3 linked regions of the Drosophila melanogaster genome follow. The protein of the gene in region 3 interacts with the protein of the main gene of each other region in a pairwise test. Each region holds a gene or a part of one and is shown on either strand. Other genes may lie near its edges.

Evidence for each region. The genes of interacting proteins can lie anywhere in the genome.
Region 1: the proteins of INPP5E (region 3) and smal interact in a two-hybrid assay, tested with the Drosophila melanogaster proteins (one large-scale study listed by BioGRID).
Region 2: the proteins of INPP5E (region 3) and CG3309 interact in a two-hybrid assay, tested with the Drosophila melanogaster proteins (one large-scale study listed by BioGRID).

What each region holds. Positions count from the first base shown.
Region 1 is NT_033779.5:6,177,334-6,182,140, forward strand, and holds the start of smal (smoke alarm), read left to right. Parts: upstream 1-1,799; 5' UTR 1,800-2,366; intron 2,367-4,807.
Region 2 is NC_004354.4:5,326,167-5,331,065, reverse strand, and holds CG3309 (uncharacterized protein), read left to right. Parts: upstream 1-1,718; 5' UTR 1,719-1,796; coding exon 1,797-2,897; intron 2,898-2,956; coding exon 2,957-3,760; 3' UTR 3,761-4,391; downstream 4,392-4,899. Other genes in the region: XRCC1, read right to left, coding at 1-852, 914-964; Mcm3 (minichromosome maintenance 3), read right to left, coding at 4,473-4,899.
Region 3 is NT_037436.4:12,275,836-12,281,981, forward strand, and holds INPP5E (inositol polyphosphate 5-phosphatase E), read left to right. Parts: upstream 1-1,819; 5' UTR 1,820-1,901; intron 1,902-2,390; 5' UTR 2,391-2,448; intron 2,449-2,518; 5' UTR 2,519-2,824; coding exon 2,825-4,044; intron 4,045-4,113; coding exon 4,114-5,028; intron 5,029-5,089; coding exon 5,090-5,198; 3' UTR 5,199-5,641; downstream 5,642-6,146. Other genes in the region: Sms (spermine synthase), read right to left, coding at 1,055-1,339.

The sequences.
Region 1 (4,807 bases), on a different chromosome or scaffold from region 3:
GGAATGAATTCTTCATCAGGATCAACCGTCGTGTCAACAGCTATCGTTCTTGCACAATAGATAAAATACAGTAATGGGTATCTGATAGAATTTTTAATCTTCGAAAGCAGTCCATCGAGAATGTCAGTATCTATAAATACTTTATGGAGTGGGAAAGGTCTGGGACAATAAACAAATGTGGCAAAAGATACTATGCCAGTATCGCAGCATGGGGTTGATGTATTCACAGAGTCCTTGAAGGCTATGTAAATATTTACTCGTGATAACGCAACATTTGCTTGTTCTATCTATGTATGTATTTTGTATATCTATTAGCAGCGCTGAATGCATTTTTGTGTAAATTCCTGATCATAACCATTTGGCCGCCGCTCATCCGCTCGTCCGCTGATTTCTTTGACTGCCGGGCAGGCGAACAAGCCGTTTGACAGACAGCGCATGCCCAACGGCTTTGGCCGGAATGGGTATGAGTTATGGTTGGAAGTTGGCAATGCTTCTGCTGTCTGCTGTTTGTTTGTACACTCGGATGTGACAAATGGCCAATTGATAGGAACATGCAAAGAGTCTATCGAATAAAACTACGTACAAAGTTAAATTGACTACAAGACAGAATGTTTGATTTGCTGGAGTTGTCCTGTCAATAACATTTACATTAATCTTGCAGAATATTTGTATATATTTTTAAATTAATATCCAATTCATAGCTTTCTGGGTGTCTGTAATCATAAAATAGAAGACAAAAAACATGTTTTTTTTTTTTAACTAAGAAAACAGACAAAGAGACAGAAGAAGTACTGCTTTCATAAACAGTCACCATATATGATACAAATTGGTTACGGTTTCCAGATAACGCCTTTCCAAACGCTGTTCGCTTTTCGATAGGCGATCTGGCCCGGAGCGATATCAGTTGATTAGCGGCGATCCACTCGAGGAATTCGTTGTGGGCCCCTCGAAATTGTGTCACCGAGTCAAACATTCGAAAGTGGCGAAGAACAAAGGGTCGGATCAACTGGTGAGACCAATCAATCAACCCACAACCTCTGCGATACAATCTACAAGTGCGTAGCTATAAATCCCCATGCCCCACGAAAACCGTAGAGTTCGTAAATCATACATGTCCATATGATATGGTGCACCAATGTGACAAGATCGCATTTCTCTGCTGGAAATTATGACAAGTTGTATGTGCGATTTCGGCTTAATGCCGGCGTCAATCATTGGAAATTCATCAGAGGCCGCGATTGGCGGCGGTCCGCCATTTCCAATTTGGACTGCAAGGCGGATTCGCCGGAAAAAGCGAGCGAAAGGAAAAGTCGGGGAGGGTAAAAACAAATCAACAGTTCGAATTCGCTCTTGTTTTGTTCCACATTCGCCGCAGACGGAAATCTCTTATACGAGCCGGAAGAGAGCGGAAAAACTCTATCGGATTTGGAGTTTCTCGGCGATTTTCACAGAGCACAGGTGAAGTGCCTGGGCCTGGGCAGGTAAATTCAACTCCATTGTGGATAATTTTACTGAGAATTGAAAAACTTAGTTTTTAGCGCAGCATATACAATATAAACTATACTGTAGCTTAAATGATAAGTTTTAAGGAAACAAAAACATAGAAACAACTCCAAATTATGATTTAAATGTTAATTTGATAATATAAATCCTTGCAGGTCCTTTACAGCGCTCTCCACACATAAACTTTGTAAACAGTTCCACCGACGAGCGAACAGAGTCCACAAAAGAGAAGCGCTCGCTCTCTTAGCATCCACACTTACATGCAACGGAGTGGTGCGCTGCACGTTACATTCAATCGGATTCAATCGCTCGTCGACCTTCGTGCCGCGCGTTACAAGAGTCGCAGTCGCTGTCGCAGTCCGCCGTCTCAGTCTCAGTTTGTGCCCCCAGTCTCAATCCAGCTCTCGTGACAAGAAGAACAGAACGCCTTGGCCACTGGCAACGCGGTCGCGAATCAACGCAGTTACCCATCTCAGGCTTAATCGGCTGGCAGCCAATCGCCAAGAGATCCGACAGATACGGATACGCAATCCGCGCAGCGCGAGTGCAGAGATACGAATTGGTCAGGAATAAGATACGGTGCAAGTGGCACCCAAGATGCGGCAATTGTGCACCTGCGGCCGCCAGCAGCGTGCGGCAAAGTGTGTGAAATGTGCTACCTGAGAAAATGCCCACGGAGTGCTCAAACATATCGAAACAAACCAGCAGATAGAGTATCTTTTGCTGCCCCAGTGAACAACAGTGCTTGAAATTTTAGTAGAGAAATCGTTGTTTTTTGCTACAAACTAAAGTGCAAACGGAATACAATCAATATACACCTTAAGTCAACGCAAAGGCTAATTCAAAACTCTTGGAATATTTAGGTGAGTTGAGAGTGAAGAAAGGCCTAACTTGAAAACAATCAGTGCTCAATGCTCAAAGCAATCATGTCAATAAACAGGATTTCCCCATAGAGACTTTGCAATGCATAAATAAATATTGAGTTGCAAACAATCAATTAGTGCGACAAAAACAAGTTTATGTCAATTACTAACTAAATAATTCATTTATCCGAAAAGAAACCAGAAGAATATTGGCCCAATCAAATGTATCTCATCAAGGCGCATTCCAGAGATCAAAAGATATCATTTCCAACCCGTTCTCCCCATTTCTTACGGTGGCTGTCCCCTTGCCTCATTAATTAAACACAAATTAAGAAAGAGCCAAGCTGTCAACATCTGGGGCTAATCAAACTAACCTGCTGTATTTTATAAATAAGAAGCGAAGAAGAAAAGCGGCGGCAGGTCGTAAAACGCTAAGATACTGCCCTTATCTCCTAAAGAAAGATCTTTCTCCGAACACTTTGTGCCTCCGACGGCTGTTGCACACAGATTCTTATCTCGCAGATGCAGTTATGTATCTAGATATTCCGCAGTACAACCTCAACCTCGAGTCTTTGGCAACTTCACACTCCGCTAGACGCGCAACGAGGCCCCTGGATTTCATAATTTTCCCGCTGTTCTGCGGGGTAATTAAGTAGAAGTATGTTTGGCAATTAAAGTTCCAGAGACCTCGCTTTCGCTTTTTCCCCCCGCAATCATCAGCTTTTGTAAATAACTCGAGTTATTTTTCTTGCTCACTTGGGATGGTTTAGAAATTTAAGATTGAGATTGGGCATCCGATGGGTAGCGATTACCGCGAGCTGCGAAGATGCAGCCGCAATCGCGCATGCATAATTAATTTCGTGTAAAAATCATAATTACACCAATTAAAATTTGTGTAAACAAGTTGGCAGCAGGCGGGCGAGTCCCTCAATCTGCCCCAAGCGCCGTTTGGGGCGCAATCATTATGATAATACCGCTGAAAAAACTTTTCGTGGTCGATTGCGAGGGGAACTCTTTATTGCCATTGTAGAAAAAGTTGGTGGGCCCAGGCGGAATTGAGTTGGCTATATTATGGTAATGAGACGTTTGAGTATGCCTCCAATGAACAACAGATTTGCCGCAGATTTGCCCAATCTGCTTTAAACTGCGCCTAAAACCCATAATTCGATGTGCGTGAAAGAATTTAAAGCACCGAAGTTCATAGATGCATCCACATAGCTACCATTAACAGGTTGTATTCAATATTTTATTCAAATCTAACTAAAATACTAAGACAGCAAAGTGATAAAATTGATTAGCAATGAAATTATGAAATGCAATAATCGCTAGTTTTATTTCATTGCCACTGAATCCGAAAAATACGTTATTCATTCAAACGTTGCGTTGAATAAAATGTGAAATATGTTTGTGGAATTAAAAAAGGTGTATAAAACTATATTTATAAATATACAAAGTGTGCAGCTTGGAAATTCATGGGAATTATTATGAATTTATTTTGTACATAAACACACATCTCTTTCATTTACCTGCAACCATCTACCAACGAAATGAAAATGTGTATCTCAATTTTTGGGGGGAAAATATTTTCTTTTGTCAGCTGGGATTACGATGGAAATGGGGCAACAATATTTACCATGTTCTTCTGCAATTTTAATAAGGATCCATTTAAACAGCATTGATTAAACTTTGTTTTCATTAAAATCTAAACAAAGCCCATTCATGCAATGTCAAAAATAAATAATAAAATGTCTAATTAGACCATTAAATCCGATGGCAATATAACAGCCAGCTAGTCGCATTTGAACTATTTAAGTTTAATTTGAAATGCCAAGGTATATTTCTTCTTTAAATAAGTAAAATTCCACCGACGTGCGGCAATTTATATTAGTGTCTTCTTCAACGAATTCAACTTCCATTTAACCTCATTCTGTACACATCGCATCCCCCAGGTCATTTTTCAGGGGCTGGCAAACACAACAGTCAACAAAATTTATACCCAAGAAGTGTCATTCTCGTGTGCATTTCGGGCTTTTTTTTTGCCGCTGGTTCGACGAGATCGTGTCGCTGCCCACATGGCTGCCACCGAATTGCTGGCGGAGACTCCAACTCCTCCGCGTCCCCTAATTAATTAGCATCTAACTAAGAATAATGTTTCCTGCGGCCCTCGACTGTCATAACTTGGCCGCAAGTTTATTTGTTTGGCTCGCCAACCGAAGGCGGCGCACAAAAGACATAGCCACCATTCCGTGAGATACAGATACAAGTACACAGATACAGATACAGATACGGGGGAAAACTGGAGGCACAGATGCCAAGACGGCGCACAGGTGCCACATTTTCTTCGATTGCAGGGGTATAAATGCCGCCAGGAGCACTAATTCGTGGCTGCCACTCCGCATTTTTGTTTGTTAGTTTCGTTTGGCTGGGTTTTTATGGCCAGT
Region 2 (4,899 bases), on a different chromosome or scaffold from region 3:
TCGCCGTCGATCCTTGTCCGCCTCCAGATGCTTGCTCAGCCGTTGTTTCTTTGCATTGACCTCAGCGTCCTTCACGTCCTCATCATCGTCGCCGAACAAGAGTGAAGCTCGATTGCGATCCAGGGGCTTGGCATCCAATGGCGTCGGAGAAACCGATCGCAGAGCATTGAGAACTGGTGATGGCGACGTCGAGGTTTTGGGCGATGCAGCCAGGCTAGAAACCTTGCCAGCGCTCAGCCTTCGCAGGGCCGTGGAGCCGGCGTCCCGAATGGCCGCTGCTGTGGAGGTCGCACTGATCGCGGGCGACTTGTGCTGCGTCTGCTTCTTCCAGCTGTGAAATCTGTTCACTTGATTGTCCGTTTCCGAGTCCGGCGACTCCTCGCGCAGCTTAAAGGTCCCGAATTGCATAACACCCTGCGGCACTAGGGATTTGACCTTAGGCGCCGCAGCAGCCACTACATGCACCTTGACGAATGAGAGCCCGTATGGCACATGACGATTGAAGGGCTGTGTGCAGACTATCTGAAGCAGCTTCCACTTCTCCGGCAGTGCACTCTCCGCCAGCGAAGTGCTACTGAAACAGCGAACGCGATTTGGATTGCTGGAATTCTTGCTCTCGATGGGCGTCATAAACGAACTGGATAGCAGCAGCTCGCGGAAATCGTCCGCCTGGCAGCCTGTTCGACTGACCAGCACCTCGATGAAGGCGGCATGTTCGTTGCCAATATCGATGCCCGTAATCTGTTGCGGCTCCTCGAACTCCAGCACAACGTATGCGGATTTCTCTCCCGGCGCCTTGGTTCGCCACTTCTTGCCGGCGTTTTCCTTGAGCAGATTCGCCGCTACGTGCACCTGGCCAGCGGGATTGCATAGTTATATAGATGTACATTTGTTATATAGGAGCATTACTCACCGCATCTTCGCTGCTCACTTCGCGTACGGACTTGAAAAGCGCAATTGGCATTTCGCAAGTCGCATGAATTTACACTGAGACGCCGATGATTTTGCGGCAAATTGCTTTGCCGACAGTTGCGCCTGCGATTAAACTGATTGTCGAAAGGGAATTGCGTCGGTTGCATGTGTTGCCATGTGCGCTAGAATGTTTGTTTATTTCTTTTATCTTTTGATGATGGGCGGTGAATTATGCTGATTTTGCTTAACCAACTATTTCAAAAATAAAACCTGTATTGTGTGCACTAATTGCCCATCACTAGCTGTGCTGACAGCCTAGCTGGATATCGCTAAATATGGTCTCTTCGTCACCATATCAAAATACTAGCTAGTTAATTGGTTAACCAACACTGGTCACTTCAATTCAACTTTATTTCATTACGTTTATTAAGAAAATGCTAAAGATCTGTTTTGTTTGCAAAGGTTATTATAATTATATTATATTATATTATTCATTATATTCATTATATTATATTATATTATTCAAGAGATTAAATCGCCAAAGTGGCAGCGCTGGTGAAAAGCAAAAAAAAGGTGAAAGTTTTGAAATGATAAATTTGCACATAGAGATGAGCAGTGATTGCAAACGGTGACAAGAAACAAGATAAATATTTAGTAATATATAAAAATAATAACAAACCGTTAAGAAAAGCTAACGAACAGTATGACTGCGCTAATTTATTATATTTAAAAACAAATGATTGTTTATTAGCAAATACTATCGCATTAAATGGTGACTGGCGATAATAACGGTAACTGCAAGCAGTGAACAACTATCGCCCTTCCCTGATTCCCCTTGTCAATGTCGCTGGCAAATAAATAAATAAATATCAACAAAATACAGAATGAGCGCGGATGCGAGAATCAAGCAGATGGCGCCATCGCTGGACACCACCGAACGGGAGAGGGAGCACCAGAACGTGGATGCCACCAACTCGAACTCGGAGCCCAGTGCCAGCGATTGGGTGAACTTCTCGCAATGGATGCACTGCTTCTGCGTGGTCACCTTCGATCTAAATCTTGGGCAGGCGCTGGAGCACGTCTATCCGCCGGCTTTCATGCCCAGCGACCAGGAGGTTAGCAACATTTGCTACATGGCCTTCCCGGACTCAAATTCCGGCTGCATGGGCGACACCAAGTTCCACATGCGATTGCGCTGCACAACGCGTCGGGATTCCTTGCCGGGCTACAATGCGGAATGCTCGCCGGCGCTGCGACAGGATGGCTCCCACTACTGGGGCTTCGTCTACTTTCGCCAGAAGCGGGACGCGAATCTGCCGCGTGGTTACTTCCAGAAGAGCTTTATAATCATTACACGACTGCCGTTCTTCAATCTGTACTACGACATACTCTCCCAGCTGGCGCCGCGCTACTTTGAGGAGGGCACCGACGTCCTGCGTCTGGCCAGCGAGCAAATTAATCGCCAGTGGCCCGGCCTGCGAGTGGGTAAGCCGCTCCAGCTGCCTCTGCTGGATTGCAGCTATCAGATCTGCATACCGCGGACCAGCAGCAGTCGAAAGTCGACGGCCGATGGAGGCATCGCAGGTGGTGCGGTGGAATCGCCACCAGCCATGGCTGCTTGCCCGGCAGCCAAAGTGCTGGCCTCCGTTAATGAAATCGAACTCTTCCGCTCCCTGGACTTTGTCATGGAGCAACTGTACACGCTGTGGGAGCTGGTCATCACCGCCGAGCCCATTGTTGTCGTTGGCACCTCACCCGCCGACTGCTCCCACATGGTGCAGACCCTTCTGGCCATGATTGCTCCGCTGGAGTATTGCGCCGAGGCGCGTCCCTACTTCACCATTCACGACAGCGAATTTCGCGAATTCACACAAGAGTGCAGCAGCAAGACCACACTGCCCGCCTGCATTTTGGGCGTCACGAATCCGTTCTTTGTGAAGCTCCTGAAGGATTGGCCGCACATGCTGCGACTGGTGGACAACCAGGTGAGTGTCCCAATCCCAGTTAACGCAATACAAAATATATCCGTCTTGCTCGTTTTCAGAAGAACATGCAGCAGCAACAGCATCTGCTGCTGGGCCAAAAACACGCAAGGAACATCGCATCGGCCACATCATTTTCCAGTTCAACGGAACTCGGTGGCCGTATAGCACTGAAATCGAACACCAATCTCAATGGCAGCTCCAGTTCCAGCAATGGCTCGGGCGATGCCTCGTCCGCGGGCCTGCACAGTAAATATAGGCCGTACCTGAAAAAGGACAAGGCGCTGATCAAAAAGGTGCTGCTGGGCATGAAGACCAAGCGGCCGGAGCATGTGCAAACCGCACTGATACGACGCCATCTGCTCGAGCTGACGCAAAGCTTTATGATACCACTGGAACGGTATATGGCATCACTGATGCCGCTGCAAAAGGACATCAGTCCGTTTAAGTCGGCGCCGAATGCCAACAGCTTTAAGCTGGATGACTTTCTGGGCACGCTGGAAACCGCTGGGCCGCAGCTAACGTCGCCGCTGAAGGGCGACTGGAAGGGCCTGTACAGACGCTTCTTTCGATCGCCCAATTTTCGCGGCTGGTACGGTGCACGTCATCGGGAGCTGCAGCTAACGCTGCAGGATCTACAGCTGCAGGCGCTATCCGTGGCGAATCTCGAGCACTGGGCGCACGACAAGCAGGAGGTGGAGATCATCGATATGATACTCAAGCTCAAGCAAAAACTGAATCTCTATGGCGACAAAGCCACGCAGCTGGAGGGCAACAATGGCTCAACTCAGCAGCAGATACGCGCCCAGATTGAGTGCATGAAGGGCTTGCTGCCGCCGGATCTCAAGAATGTGGTGAATCTTTGATGGTAGTAGCTCAATCCTCGTCCTCCTCCTTCTCTTCTGCCACTTATCACTTTGGCTGCTCCACATCTGTCTGCTAGTATCCTGTGATTGTGTGATTGTGCCTGGCGGTGCTCTTTATCAGTGTAAATAGATTTTAATCGGCGATTAGTCGCCGTATTTGTGTCTAGTTTAATTCTAAAGTGAATCCAAGCGAAGCGATGAATGTTGTTAGTTCAAACTACAAGTCAAGTATTAAATGTAATCGATGTGTCCCTTCCATATTTTCACATCCATGCGAAAACAATGCTCATGTCTCAAAATGTCGAAAACCATGCCAATAATATCTATGTGGCTGCAGCTTGAAACCACTAACCACAACATTGCAGTCCCTTCCTCTCCAGCTTTTTACTGATTGTGAATGGGAGTTGTGAAGCCAGTTGGTTATACCTTCAGTTTGTTTCTTTTAAAACCGTTGTGCAACTTTGTGTGTATATCGCTTAAATTGTTTATGTCAAATATAAGTTAACTATAATACATTAGCCAACAGCTGCAGCCTTTCCTTATGCCAACGTACATATTCCGTGGATTGCAATGGGAGTTCCAAAGTGTTTATTTTTTTTTTTATATAAATACAAAACAAAAATGACAACTTAAGCGCTAGAATGGTTGATGGATAAAGGATGGATTGATGGATGCAATCGTTCGTTCGATTGTTGCTCCTTGGAATGCGCGATCAGATGAGAAAGACTATATCGTCGGCGACCATGATCTGATTGTCCTCGGTCATGCGATGCACGGCGGCCTCGATTTCGCCAGCGGTGAACGGCTCCTGGCTGCCAACGTTGATGGCCGTGGTGATCCTGGCCAGCGCCAAGCTCTGTTCGCGTGCCTCGCGAAACAGTCGCTGCAAATTGTTCTTGAACTCGCCCAGGCGGGCATCGCTAATGATGGCCGGCTCCGTGGTCGATGTGGCCACCGACTGCTCCTCACTGGAGGGGCTGGCCATCAGCATGGCGACCGAGCGAGCGGGCAGAGAACGACGCGTTTCGCGACGCGTCAAATCGCCAGCATCCGGCTGTGGTGGCTCAATATCCTCCTCATCGCTATCGGCACCGACGGTCGCTGTGCGTGTGCGTTTGGAGCGTCGCGATGGTGAGCGC
Region 3 (6,146 bases):
GTACAAAGGTTTGTTGAGATTATATCCTAACTAACTCCATCATTGTATAAAAATATAATTTTATAAAAATTTTACTTGGGATTTTGTTAAAGCTATAGTTATAGAACAAAACAATTTTAGACTTTTTGACATAATTTAATTTTTTTGATGCTATTTAGCTTACCGTAGCTGTAGGCATATGTACATGGGACATTTTCTCTAGCATTTTAGATGTACTTAAACAAATGATGGAAGAAATTGAAATATTCTATCAAATTTTATATTCTTTGTTGTTTTACAAACAAATACTGGTTGTCATTTTGAAAACCCTCAGATTTGTGGTATCAACAGTCATTTTGTTGACTTAGGTTTGTTTATATGTGCATGCGTAAGTAGAGTAAACTGGTATAAGAAAGTTTAAGTATCAAATGAAATAATGCGTGCCTAAGGGTGTAACCTGAAATCTGGTTTCTGTAATAAGGGCCGCATATTCCGGGTGTTTTTCTTCTTATTAGTATGGGTACCATGCCCCAAAGGGGCGCCAATCAATAGATCGCGAGTCGAACCCAACCCACGTGCTCCGGCCAAATGTGAAAAGCATAGAAACGGGACCGGAACGACAAGTTAACCTAGCAAAGCCCAGCTGAAATCGCTATGTATGTGATGTGTGCTTCAGAGGTGTTAGATAATAGAAACTGGTGAAAGTGCTGGGATGGGGGCAGCCATCACTTGAGGCCAAGGACGGACGAACTGACCCTGACCAAGTGCCGGCCATTTGAGCTCGCCGAGTGGTCAGGAACACACTCACACACACAACCAATCAACCCACCCACATGGTTGCCCACTTGCCATGCACACACCCCCACATGTATGTATGATGAAGCAACAACACTCGGGTACAAGTGCGCGGAAAATCAATTTTACCCGGTGGGTGGAAAACCCTTTCCCCAACTAATCAGCCGAGACACGGAAACTGGGAGGGTAAGAAAGATGTGGGTGGTGGTGCTGCTGTCGGGTGTTTGCTTGCTTGTTTTTTGAGTTTTTTAAAGGAATCTAAATTGCACTGAATACGTACGTCGAAGGATATGCTCGGCTCCTTGCCATCGGGCAGGAAGTACTCCACGTTGAGCGTCAGCAGGCCGTGCTGGAAGATGCGGCAGGTAATCACCGTGTCCTTGTTCTCGTGCAGCACCGCAAAGTAGCCGTTTTCCGGCGACTCCATCGAGTAGGCCAGCTCCAGCTGGGGGAACAGCTGCTCCAGCTCGTTACGCAGGATTTTGGCCACCTGGAGGCGCGCCTCCTCATCCGCCGTCTTGTCCTTGTCCAGCGTGAAATCAAACAGTATCGTCTGGGCCGCCATCGTGCTTAACTTGCGCTAATCCGTTGAACAAAAACGCTGAACCGCGTACCGACCGAAACGAAATACTAGTGATGCGCCTTACGAGCACCGATAGCAAGTCGATTTCGATTGCACTTCTAGTGTGGCTGTATAATACAGTTAATTAAACCTTATTATTTTTTTTAATATAAGAAACGGTTTATTAAATAATTGTAAAAAATAATAAAGTACATTTAATAATAATGTTATAAATTCCTCTTAATAAATTTTTGAAGGGTACTTGGCCCACAATTTTGTATTGAATATATAGCGCTTTGTTATGTATGTTTACCTAATAAATATTACATTGGTACGTTTTGCTGGAAACACAATTAAATACAAATCTTAATTAATATTTAAGAAATATTTCTTTAAATCTATCGTGTCACAACCCAGCCACTGAAACACCCCCGCCCGCACCTATCGATACGTGCTCCCACTTATCGGCAGTTGGCTGCCCACTTTTGCCACCCCTAAATCGCAGTTCCCACGACAAGTTCCGCACTTGCTCGGAGTTTTTGGGTGTAAACAACATTGGAACGCGGTAAATCATACAAAAATTACATAAATCGCATAGGTGACAGCAGCGTGGAAGGGTAGTGCGTACCAGTGCGGAACATGAAAAGCACACCAAGAGCGAAATCAATGCGCACCTGAACCTGAACTTGAATATCGCATGTGTGCTATGTGCTATTGTTGCTGCTTTTATGCTAGACGTAGGCCAACAACACAAGAACAACAAGGCTGCGCTGACGGGAACAATGGTCTGCTAATTATAAATCTCTCGATCCCAGAGAATCGAATCAGCCAGCAGACGACGGATATTGTGCTTGTGTTCAGACGTTCAGATGCTGAGTGCTCAGTGCTTGGATGCGTGGGCGCCGCAGCATGCCAATGTTGTTACGTCGTCGCCAAAGACCACCCTTCCGCGACCAACCACCCCCCAAATCGCCCACAATCCTCCCCATTTTATATATCGCGACGGTGTCGCCACAGTTATTACCCAGCATATTGATTTTCTGAATCCTTTCAGCTCTCTCGCCCCAAAGGATCTGCCCACATATGTGTTTTTTTTATTTAGTTGCTTGCAGGTTAGTAAGTGTATTATACCCTTGGTATTACCAACCCGCCTAAATGTTTACCTTCATTAAAATCTTACAGAACAGCACACGCAATCGCCGCCAGTCAGCCCAATTAGCCTGATTTCGTGTACGTCATCGCCGAGCCCAAAATAATTTGCATTGCGACCAGCCAGAACGCCGGACCAAAGTCGCATTTGCATTGTGCTCGCTCGATGACGTCTGGCTTTACTATTTATATGGCCGGCAGCCAGAGGCCATCGCACAATGAGCTCGGTTCGAGAGATCCGGCAGATAGAGCGAATTAACTTGACAAAAGGGGGGCATGATAACCACTTAGCACCTTCACCTTAGATGATAGAATCATTTCGTTCGGACTAAAGCCAACATGCAGCACAGCAGCGCGGGAAGTGAGGAACGGATAACCAGTTCCACCAGCAGTCCCAGATCCGGTCACAAGACCGCGAGCTCCCTGTTCGGTTTGCTGAGCAAGCGACCTAGTAAGGTGGAGCCACATCCCGTGACACCCGAATCGCCAAGATTACAACAGAGACCCGTGTCCGCCTGTGGCCAATACGATGTCAGTTTCGCCAAGTGCAATGCAGATACGTCTGCAAACCATGTCAATAACAATGGGAGCACCCTCAAAAGCCAAACGCTGCCGCTGGAGAAGTCGCACAGCGGGCTGATCAGCTTCCACAGGCGTGCAAAGCCAAGTTCCTCGAAAGGAAAGAATCACTCGCACCGGCACAGTACGGATGCTGGTTCCCAAAGCGATGGAGGAGCCGACGTGGTGATGCGGCGCAAGTCGCCCAAGCATCGCTCACCCAATCACAATAGATTTAGTCACCAGTTCAGTCTGTGCTGCAAGGCGGAAAAGAAACCGATGACACCGCCGGTGACCGTGCGTTATAACTCCATACCGGATAGCAACAGTGTTCTGCGGCGCGATAACCTCTCGCTAAGTTGGAGCATGGTGGACAACAACTCGGGCTCGCTGCACTCCAGCGAAGGATCCTCACACCGACCGCGTCCGTCCAGTGAGTGTGCCAGTGCGCCAGAATCACCGGTGGCCAGCAAAACCTTCTTTGCCCACTGCAGCCCTGCTGCGGCCAGCGCTTCGGTGGCACGGAGCGAAAGCCTTCAAAATCGCTCGCCCATTCGACCCATGGCAGTATCAGCCTGCCGATCCCGACTGCGTTTAAAGCTCTATCCACCTGGACAAGAGTTACCCCCTCTTCAGGCAGCCACAGAACCTGGTGACATTAAAAGAGCCACCACACCACAGCACATGTCCTCGCCGAATATAGCCACTCAGCCAGATGGAATAGAACACATAGAGGAGCAGCCAGGCGTGAGGTTTATGTCGCACGAGAACATGACACTCCAAAGACAGGGTTCGGGATCTAATCTGGCTCGCCAGACTTTAATGGCGGCACATGCATTGAATCTGATCCCGGCGGATAACGCCAGGGAGCGAAGTTACCTGGATGGCAGGCTGGGATCAACTTCCCTTTTGGGTCCCAGTGAGCTAAGCCGCGTGCTGCCGCAAAAGGAGATTACCGTCTTTGTGGGAACTTGGAATATGAATGGCCACAGTCCACCCAAGTATGTAAATTTAATAAATTAAGTCTAAAAGCTTATGAGTTCATATCTCAATTATTCTTTTTATTGCAGACAACTTAATGATTTTGTGCTGCCAGCCAATGTGGAGCACGTGCCCGACATTGTGGTAATGGGCACACAGGAGTCCACCCCAGACCGCTTCGAGTGGGAGGTCACCATTCAGGAGACCCTAGGTCCCTCTCACGTGCTCTTCCATGCCACAACTCTGGGTACCCTCCACCTGGCTGTGTATATGCGACGGGACTTGATCTGGTACTGCTCCGTTCCCGAGGACGCATCTATGTCGGTGCGCACGGGCTCCGCCTTTCGGACAAAGGGTGCCGTGGCCATATCCTTTTGCCTGTTTGGCACTTCCATGCTGTTTGTGACCTCGCATTTAACGGCGCACCAGCAGAAGGTTAAAGAGCGTGTGTCGGACGTTAAGCGGATAATCAATGCTCTGGACTTGCCTCGCAATTTGCCCAATCAGCGGCATAAGAACAAAGATGTCACGCAGAACTTTGACAATGTCTTCTGGTGCGGCGATCTTAACTTTCGACTGGGTGAGCCGCGTGAAAAGCTGCTGGAATGGATTCAGAACACCAAGTTCCCGCTGCCGTCGCATTTACCGCACGGTTACATGCACACGGATCAGTTGACTTCCGTTCTGGCTGATGGCGCCGCCTTCCGAGGATTTATGGAGGCGAACATCACATTTCCACCCACGTACAAGTACGATCCGGGCAGCCAGAACTTTGATACCTCGTCGAAGCAGCGAGCTCCCGCCTACACGGATCGCATTCTCTACAAGTACCGCCAAATGCAGGGACTAGTCATCCGTCGGCAGACCCTAGTGCCTGGTGTATCCACACCCACGCAGCCGCATGTCCAATGTCTGCTCTATGACTCGGTGCCATCGATAACCACCTCGGACCACAAGCCAGTTTGGGCGCTTTTTCGAACACTCATACGTGCAGGAACCGATGCGTGAGTAATTGGAATTATTACAAAGAAAATAGGATTCTAATGAACTTTCCTTTTTCTTCAGAATTCCCTTGGCTGCTGGGCTCTTCAGTCGCGACATTTATCTGGAGGGAATGCGTCGACGCTTGAATAACCAATATAGCGGCGCCTCCGCCGTTTGTGTGTTGCAGTAAACTACTGAGATGCTAACCAAAGCTAGGCTTCCTAATGGCCGCCTACCCACGTTGAAATCTATTTAGTCATTTACTCGAATCTCAAAGTGCTAGTCAAAGCTTTCCTACGGTTGTGCGACGCCTTTGTATTAACCCGATTAGATTGTTATCCAGTGCGCTGTCGGATATCGAAGTAACGATATAACCATTACTTACCCTGCAATGCTGCGGTAGATCTTAGGCGCTGCCTTTCGCCTCGAGGCCTTAGTCGTAATACGTTCCTTATGAGATTATCTAATACATACTCGTGCAACAATTCTGTACCTCTACTCTGAAGCACAAGCTTAGTTCGTAGATAAACTAAATCTGATAGTTAAAGTTTAGTCAAATATTGAAATGAAATCGAAATATGAATTACTTTGAATGTGTAATGTTAACTAGCAGTAAATATATTTTATGCATCTAAAGGAAGAGCTTTATTAATTGTTGAAATACTCATTATTATTTATTGTTAGTCTTATTGTTTATTATTATTATTATTATTATTATTATTTATTATTACTATTATTATTTAGTTTTTATAAGAGTTATTGTTGAATTATGTATAGTGAAGTTGATTACTTTTATAATTTGAAACCCAAATGAAGTTTTTAACTTTATTCAAGTAAGCGCCAATTTTTTGTTTACTTTTATTAAACGATTAAACGCTTGAGCTGCCCGTTTGCGTACTTAAATTCCAAAATTCCAAAATTGCTGGGAGCAGGCCACTCGACAAAAACAAAAGCGTATATGCTGCGGGGTCGTTTATTCCCCGAAAATGCGCCAAAAACGACCGGAACGACCAACTGCTCTACCCCCCCATCATACCCGTGCGCCACTTGGACACACACACGCAAATATGTTAAACTTTTGACCAATTTCAACTTGAGTTGGTTGCCATCGGACACACTCCGGGGGCAGCAATTTATT